Oryctolagus cuniculus: one gene and its partner. The protein of the gene in region 1 interacts with the protein of each later gene in a biochemical or structural test. Links are inferred from orthologs where the notes say so. Each region holds a gene or a part of one and is shown on either strand. Other genes may lie near its edges.

Region 1 (4,386 bases):
CGGCCTCCCCTGCGCCAGCCCGGGACAAAGCCCCTGCTGTCCCCACCGGGAACTGGGGCAGACAGCAGGGTGAGGGGTCTCCCAGTTTCCCGGGGCCCTCCAGCTGGGAGCGAGTCATCTAGCTGGCCCCGGCTCCCATGGCGGGAAGAGCTGGGGAGCCCCACACCTTGGAAGCAGCAGGCAACCCGACTGAGAGCCTGGCCCGAGGGCCCCTCCAGCCCGCTCTGGCCGCCTCCCGGCCCGTGGAGTAACCACCGTGTGGCTTTGGGTTGCAGCTTCCTGCGCCCCTGCCCCACCCTGGCCAGGGTGTTTCACAAGGGCCCCGGGGCCTGCTCACTGACAGGCAGGTGGCAGTCACTGACTGCTCTGTGGTCCCCTGCCTGGGCCTGCACCCACAGCCCAGTGCCCAGACCGCTCCCCCGCCAGCTGCCCCTCGAGCACCACCCTGCACTGTCCGCTCTCTGAACCCCTGCCAGGAACCTGAAGCTCCCACCCCAGGAACCCCTCCCGGAGCCCGCCCCTCCCACTGCTCTGCAGGTTAGATGCAGGCAGGTAAACAGGTGGACGGGGAGAAAGGCCACAGTCTCCTGGCCGGCTCACCCACCCGGGGAACCACAGTGTGGCTGGCCAGGCGGCCCATGTTCCCAGGGTGGAGACCCCACAGGAGCCAGGCCTGGCCAGGAGGCAGGCTGCAGCCAGGAGGCAGGGTGGGGCCGAGCCAGGAGGCGGGACCCCAAGAAGGATGGGGATGGGGTGCCCACAGCTGGAGGTCAGGAGGCCCGCAAGCCGGCCCCGGCCCACCAGGAGACGGGCCCTCACTGCTGCCTGGGCACGGGGGTGTCCCTCCCCCCACGACCGCACAATGACAGCGGTGGCTTCCTGAGGGGACCACACAGAAAAGTGCCGAGCGCGGCGCTGGGCTGGGAAAAGTGCCTCCTCAACAGATTCCGCCCTCTGCAGAAGGCCTGAGCTCAGCACAGTGCAGCCAGGCGCCTTCCGATCAAAGGTGTGCACGCGTGTGCGTGTGCGTGTGCGTGTGCGTGTGCAGGCACCCACGCCGTGGGGGAGGGCCTCGGCAAAGCCGGCGCTTCCAGCCTTCCGGGCAGAGGCGGCCCCTGGGGATGGCGGAGAAGGCTGGCTCGGGGCACCTGTCCCAGCCAGAGGGGGGGTCCCGGAGGCTGCACTGAGTGGAAGCCCCCCCAGCCCATCCTCTCCGTCCTGAGGGCTGCTCAGAGCTAGAGCCGCTGTCCCCTGCTGCCTGACCCACGGGGGACCCTGGGCCACCCACTCAGCTGAGAGCTAGGAGAGGAAAGGGCAGCTCCGGCCCTTCCTCCAGGACCAGCTCCCCTGGGCACCCTTGCCCGGCACACCCCAGCGGCCACAAGTCCCAGGCAGGCCGCCCGACGCTCTGCGACCCCGACCCGAGTCCTGCGGCTCCATTCACGCCAGAGCACCCGTGCCGGAGAAGCCCCGAGGAAGCTGCGCGGTGTCTGGGTGCGACCACGCGACGGCCACGAACCCAGGGCAAGGGAAGCAGTGGGAAGGTGAGCTCTGTCCACCTCCCTGGCCCCCAGCCCCCACCGCGGCCACACCACCCTTTGGCCTCTTAGCCGCCGGTCCAGACAGCGGAGACACCACACTGGCTCAGCACACTCCATGCTGGGACCCCTCCTCGCCGGGGACAACCCCTGGGTGTCTGGGACCCGATTCTCCCGCCTGTGCGTCCACACTAACCCACCTGCTGCACCCCAAAGGACGCATCCTGAGCTCCTGTCGCGTGCAGCCTCGCCCCAGCCCAGGGCCAGCGGACCCGGCCGCGACAGCGCGCTGGCTGCCCTGCGAAGTCCTGCTGCCTGCTCCCTGCCCGCCGCCGCCCCTGCGGCCCCACGCTCACTCCTCTTTCTTCTGACGCCAGGGGCTGCCCATCCAGGGGCTTCCAGCCGCCAGCTCGGCCCACCAGACCCCTCCCCTCCCGTCACCCCCAGCTGTTTATCAGTTTGGGGGACTGCCCCGAACGTGGGCCCAGGGCCGATCTCGCCAGGGGCTCGACTTCTGCCCCGCAGGAAGCCCGCAACGCGGCCTCGGCCTCCGCCTGGCCACGCCGGCCTCGCGCTCATCCTCACGTGTGCCTCCCCCGCCACGGGCCGGCCCCTCCAGTCCCGAGGCCCCGCGCCCAGTCCCCGCGCCAGCAGCAGCTCCGAGTGACCTCATGCTGATGACTCAGCAGGTCGCGGCGCTGGCACGCGAGCCGAGCCCGGGCCCGCGGGCAGGGTCTTCCCGCCGCCCCCGCCCGGCCGCCGGGGCCCCGCGCGCCGCCAGCGGCCGCCACACACCTGAGGAGCCGGCGGCCGCGCCCCCGCGCCCCCGCGCCCCCGGCCGCGCCCGGCCCCGCCCTCCCCCCGGCCGCCGCCGCGCCTCGCCCCGGGACGTCCCGGCCTCCGCCGAGCGGGCTCCGCGCACGCCCCGCCCGCGCCGCCGCGCCGCCGCGCCGCCGGCGGTGCGCCCGGGCACCCGCGGCCGGGGCCGCAGCCCGGCTCCCGACGGCAGGGGAAGGCGAGGCCCGGCCCGCCGGAGGGCGCGCGGCGCGCCCAGGCCACGGCCCCGCCCCGGCGCGGGCCCCGCCGCCGCCCCCGCCGCCCGGCCCGCCACACTCACCACACTGCGGGCCCGGCGGGCCGAGGCCGGGGCCGGGGCGGAGCCGCGCGCGCTCCGAGGCCGCGCGGAGCTGGGGCGGGCGCCGGGGGTCCGGGCCCGTGGCTCGGGGGGGGTCTCGCCGCCTCGCGCGCCGGGCCGAGCGCTCTGCGAAGGCCGGGCCGGACCAGGCTCGGGATCCGCCGCCGCCGCCGCCGCCGCCGCTCCACAGACGTCACATGATGTTTGGTCACGTGGGCTCCATTCATGAAGCGGCGACGCGGCCGGCCGGAGCTTAAAGGGGAAGGCGCGGCGGCGGCGGCGGCGGCGGCGGGGCGCGTCGCCCTGCGCCTGCGCAGCCCGGGCGCCGTCGCCCCTGGCAACGCGCGCCGCGCCCGGGCCGCGTCGGGGGCTCGCGGGACTGTCCGGGCGCGCGCCCTGGCCGGACCACGCCCCCGCCGCGGCGCGGTGCGAGCGCGCGGGAGGCCCTAGTCCGAGGTCCGGGTGCAGACCGACCCCGGGGGTGCAGGGCCCAGGTCCCGGCCCCGCGGTGCGCCCGCCAGGAGTGGACGGCGCGGGCCGTCCCCCGGGCCGCCGGCACCTGTCTGAAGCCGGCCCCCGGGTCCGCGTCCGCCCCCGCCGCCGATCGTTCCCCCAGGAAGTCGCCGCGCGGCGGGGTGGGGGCGCGCTCTCGGCCCTGTTCCCTGCTCAGGTGCACAGCCAGGCAGGTGAGGAGGTGAGGGCGCCGCGGAGGGGCCCACAGGAGGACCTGGAGCTGCTGTGCGGGGCTGCGCGGGGTTCCTGGCGGGGTGGGGTGTCCACGCGGGACGGCGCGACTTGTAAAGCCTCGGGTTTTTCCGTAGAAAACGCAGCGACTCACCCCACGAGTGCGTCCCTGGTCTCAGAGCTTGCTCCTCACCCCTCCTGGACGCTGGGTCCAGGCTCCGGGGGGCGGGGCAGCCCTGAGCCGGGTTCGCGGTGGGAATCGGAGCTCCGTGGCCGCTGGTCTGAGGCCCGAGGTCGAGGGCAGGGGGCTAGTCGTGACGGAGAGCCGGGTGTGCCCTCGCTCCTCTGTGCTGGGAGACGCTGGACCAGGACGCCTGGTCCTGGGGCCGGGGGCCATCACTGCTGACCACCCAGGCAGCTCGCCCTCCCCTGCCGCCGTCCAGTGCGTGGGAGATGCCTGGGAAACTCATCTCATCTCCCACTCAGTTTTGCTGATGGACGTCCGTCCACTCCCCACCCCCACACACCCACCCCCACTCAGCAGCCGCAACAGGCAGGCATGGGTGTGGCCACCCGGGGCCACGGGCGAGGCCAGTGGGGGCCGTAGGTACTGGGACTGCTTCCTATAGAGAGAGAAGCCCTGGGCCCTGGGGTCAGTTCTGAGAGCAGACAAGAGAGGGGCAGGTGCCCACGCTCTGTCCTGTGAGGGGGCAGCTCTTCGGGTGCAGGGGTCCAGCTGTCCTGTGCGGTGCTGGGTGGGGGGCTCGTGTCCTGTCACTGGAATGGCCCAGGCAGCCGGGACCTGACTCCGGTGCAGCTCCAGGGCCCAGGGGGCCCAGCCACGCACGTCCTCTCATCTGTCCCAGAACCCCCTGGCAGACTCCCCACACAGGGTCCTGGACACTTGTCCCTGAAATACGGGGGCAGCAGCGTTTGGGCCACGGCAGATGAGGCTGAATTGCTGTTGTTGAAAGCTGTCTGACAGGCAGAGAGGGAGAGAGGTCTTCCATCTGCTGGTTCACTCCCCAG
Region 2 (4,256 bases), about 23 Mb from region 1:
AGGAGGGCTTTAGGATATATATGTGTATTTCCATGTGCGGGGAGGTACAAGGCGAAAGTCCACAAAGTATTTGTGTCTTAGCAACAGATATACACGGCATCAAAGCCCATCACAACATGACTCCCTCCCCCACCCCAGGCCTCCAGCAGTCATGTTGAAATCCAAGCAGTAAACACCCTGGCATGTCCTAGGAACCTCCCACTGCCCTGACAGTACATTTAGAGGTGGGTCCATGGTTCAAAACAGGGAAATGCTCCCAGCCCCCAATCCTAAGGCTGGACAATCCGGCCCATTCCCATCCATGAACAATGCCCTAAGACTTCCCTGCCCCACCCCCACTTTTCCCCCACCCCAGTCTGTCTGGTTCTTTACAGAGCTCCATGCCAGGACCAGAGTCCTTCAGGAACAGCCCACCCCCCAGCCCCAGGCCCCACCCACTCACCACAGGGCCACTAACCTCTTTGGTTAAGTCTCCACTGACTGGAGGGGCCACGGCCCCCAAATCCTCCAAATCTTCACTGAATCCCTGCTCCGTTTCGCTCTCTCGCACCCCGTTGTCTGGGCCTGTCACATCCTGGAGGCCACTGGAACTCTCGAGGGCGAGGCCTGCGCTGGGCTGGCTGCCAGAGACAGACCCCTCTGGGTCCCGGTGAACCAGCCAGGCGTTTACCTCAGTGGTTGGCACCTGGAACCTGTCCAGGGCCCTCACCTGACTGAGGAGCCGCCGGGCAGTGAAGTAATTGTCCAGGTCTATGCTCTTGGGGTGGATACCATAGCCATCCAAGGTATTCCTCAGGTTGTGGAACTGGGTCTGAGTATAGGCAGAACTGGGCCCCAGGATGATCTCCCGGAGCGGGGGAAGCTGCGAGGTCAGGTAAGTATCCACGTCCACCCGCACCCCAATCAGACTCAGCAGAATGGTGAACTGGAGAAGTCCTTCCGTTAAGTATTTCTTCAGAGAAAGCATTGCTGAAGGACCAGAATGTTTATGCTTTTTGGTTTTTAAATCTTCCAAAAGACAAATCAAGGCCACTGCTCTGGCGCTCCAGCCAGCAGGTCTCCCTCCTCAGGGCCAAACACTGCACCCCACCCTGGCAGGTCACCGGGGCTGAGCTCCCCGACGGCCGCAGAGGACAGCACAGCCCGTGGAGCCAAGGCCACACTCCAGACCACATTCACTTTTCCCTTCGTGCCACCTCACCTCTGAGAGCAAACGGCTCCTAACCCAGTCCAGGCCTCGGGGCCCACGCGACTTCCTCACTCACATCAGCCGGCCTCTCTGTAGACTCCACTGCACGCTGTTCTCAGCAACAGCTGATGGCCTTTTTTTTTTTTTTTTTCCTTCTGCCTCCTAAGGTTTATTTTCTTTGGCTGGAGCTACAGGCCTTTTGTCTTGGGTCAGAGTGTCCCGCCTCCGCCACACTTACCAGGGGGGTTTCCAGAGAAACCTGAAATGGGAATCAAGAGCAACAGGATGAGGCTCCGAACTTTTCACACCATCGCAGGGTAAGAGACTGCTCACGGGAAAGGCGGGCAACACATTAAGAAAAAGAACTTCCACAGGAAAACTTATCACTTGTGTTCTCGCAAAATAAAGAAAGAATAAAGCCACCTGTTAGAACGGCCACCAAAAAGGAGGGTACCGACCCAAAAGGATCTGTTCTAAGATATTAAATTTGAAATATCCTAAAAAGCGGCTTGCTTTGGAAAAGCAGGCGATGCCTGTGGCACCCAAATATCTCAAATATCATTCTTTGTCTAATATACCAACTCCCCCCACCCCCACCCCGGCACATTACAGCTTCTATTTTCAGCACGAGAAGACCATTTCCTATCTTAAAGGAAAGTTCTCCTCCCGGAGAGAAAACTGCCTACAACCTACAACCTCTGCCCTTCCAGTTCTAAAGGGGAGGGAGGTTATTAACAAGTGAGAGTGTGAGACACCGGACCACACTTGGGCCACCCCTTCACACCAAAGAACGTCTTTCATTTCCCAACTTAGAAATCCTATTTTTTTTCTATCAGCCTCCAATTATAAGGGGGGGGGGGGGCACCAGAATTTGGTATCCCGAGGCTGCACAGGCAGGTTTTATCTTTATTCCTATGACCTTCTGAGCCAAGCTGAGGATATGGCCAAGTCCTCACCCCAGACTGCCAAGTGGGGAGAAGGTTAAATCTGCCTTTCGGTTTCTGGTCTCCATTAATCTCATAAACCAAGACATCCCCCTCTCCTCTACCCCATCCACCCGCTTCACGCTGAAGGGGAGGCGAGAGCTACAGACACACACACAACACACGCCCCTCTCCGCTCAGAGTAAACACAACTGCGACCCAGAATCCCTGCTTACGCTACTCTCCCATTCGCACGCCATTTATCACTGAACTCTCCAAGGGGCCGATTAAGTTCCAGAAAGCGGGCAAAGTCCCTTAAAGATCTCGAGGGAGGGCCAGAGGCCCTGGCGAGAGTCCGGTCCCACCCTGTCCCGGGTACCCGAGTCCGGCGGGGACCAAGTCGCCATGCCCACTCTCGGCGCCTCGGCTTCGAGCCTTCTGGGGCGGCGAGCGAACAAGTGCTACTTTGCTGGCCTTGACCCACCCTTAAAGGAAAACCTCTCCCCGCCCTCCGGCCCTGTGGCCCCACCCCGCTCCCTACCCGGGCCTCACACCACGCCTTCTCGGGCCCTCGACCCTCCCTAGTCCATCCCACCCCAGAGCCGGCTTTCTCCTGGGCGCCGCGGCCCGTCCACGACAGGCCTAGGACCCCAGTCCCGCCAGACACCTGGCTCGGCCGCCCAGCTCCCGCCTCCTGCCCCTCAGCCACATCCCGCCGCCCCTCACCCCATAAGCCTCGGCCCCGGGGCGCTGTGCCCCTCCCTTCAGGGAAAGGAATGTGCCCGATACCCGCTGCTGAGTTCAGCGTCCGCCACAGCAGGCCCTCAGCCTGAGTCCGAGGCCGCCGCCACCGCCGGCCGGCCTACAGCTCCCCAGCCTCCGCTTCCCTCCCCGCCCCCTCCTTCCACCTCACTCGGAAGCCCGCCCGCCACGGCCATCAGAAACAGTTTCTCCAATCAACTAGCAGAGACCGCGGCCGCCGCCGGATGTTGCTCTGACTGACAGCAGAGAGGACCCAATAGTTGAATGGGTCTCCTCCTCTCTGGGCCCATTTTCCTAAGACTGACATGACCCACGGCCCAATGGATATCTAGGCCCGCCCCGCGTCCTGGGCCCACCAATGAGTGGAGCAAAGGCCGTAGGGTCCGGCGTTCTGGACTACCCCGCGGCGTTTGCTCGGCGGGTGGTGTTGCAAACTGTGCGCTTCTAGGGCATTCTGCGTTGAGGAACTGAGAGCCTGAGACAGGGGTCGGGAGGAAGTATCGCCACCCAGGCGCGGAATTTTTCCCCGCGAGGGTGCCCACGGTGACTTGCAAAAGTCCAGTGAGACCCGAGGGTGGTCGAGACGGGGCACGGAGCATGTGGTTCATATGGCGGCGACGCTCTTGCCGCCATCTTGAGTGCTGGCAGCGGAACCAGGTCGTCCGGCTCCCCTTCCGTGTAGGCCTGGGCTCAGCCACCTGGGCAGGCGGGATGGTGCGTTGTACCGCCCAGGCAAGGGTGCTGTGGGGACTGCCGGGGAGACCGGTGGTCTCCACCTTGGTGGAAAGAAGCGGTGGTGTAATAGCGATTTTTGTCATGATAGAAACATCTCAGAACTTAGTTTTGCTGCTCAAGAACTTTGTCCAATTTCCAGAGTTCTCCAGTGAAGTCTAGCCACATTTCAAAAACATGTTTGTGACTCCTCAACGTTGTTGTTGTTGTTTAATATTTATTTATTTATTTGAAAGAGGTACACAGAGAAAGAGAGGGAGAGAGGTCTTTCATGTGCTGGTTTACTCCCCAACTGACCACAATGCCTGGAGCTGAGCTGATCCGAAGCCAGAAGCCTGGAGCTTCCGCCAGGTGTCCCACGCAGGTGTAGGAGCCCCAGGACTTGGGCCATCTTCTGCTGTGGGATGCCAGAGCCACAGGCGGAGGCTTAGCCTACTGTGCCACAGCGCTGGCCCCGTTAATTTACAACCCCCCACATCAGCTTGCAAGTCCCAAGGCCTTTCTGGAGAGATTCTGATTTAACTGCGGTGGCTGCCTGGGTCCTGACACCCGGTTTAGGGAGTCACTGAGTGGCGGTTTTTACTGTTCGCTTCCGAAGCTCATGGATAGTGGGTATTATGAAAGGACCTTTCTGTGTATTTGAAAGGCAG

Evidence for each region.
Region 2: the proteins of MAFG (region 1) and NFE2L1 form a complex in vitro, tested with the Homo sapiens proteins (2 studies listed by BioGRID and IntAct, with this or other methods). The link is inferred for Oryctolagus cuniculus from reciprocal best matches to the Homo sapiens genes MAFG and NFE2L1.

Annotation. Positions count from the first base shown.
Region 1 is NC_091448.1:998,344-1,002,729, reverse strand, and holds the start of MAFG (transcription factor MafG), read right to left. Parts: upstream 2,854-4,386; 5' UTR 2,656-2,853; intron 2,579-2,655; exon of another isoform or gene 2,334-2,578; intron 2,204-2,333; exon of another isoform or gene 1,739-2,203; intron 1-1,738. UniProt on the Homo sapiens protein: Since they lack a putative transactivation domain, the small Mafs behave as transcriptional repressors when they dimerize among themselves.
Region 2 is NC_091448.1:24,339,627-24,343,882, reverse strand, and holds the start of NFE2L1 (endoplasmic reticulum membrane sensor NFE2L1), read right to left. Parts: upstream 3,076-4,256; 5' UTR 2,902-3,075; exon of another isoform or gene 2,839-2,901; intron 2,609-2,838; exon of another isoform or gene 2,349-2,608; intron 1,449-2,348; 5' UTR 968-1,448; coding exon 458-967; intron 1-457.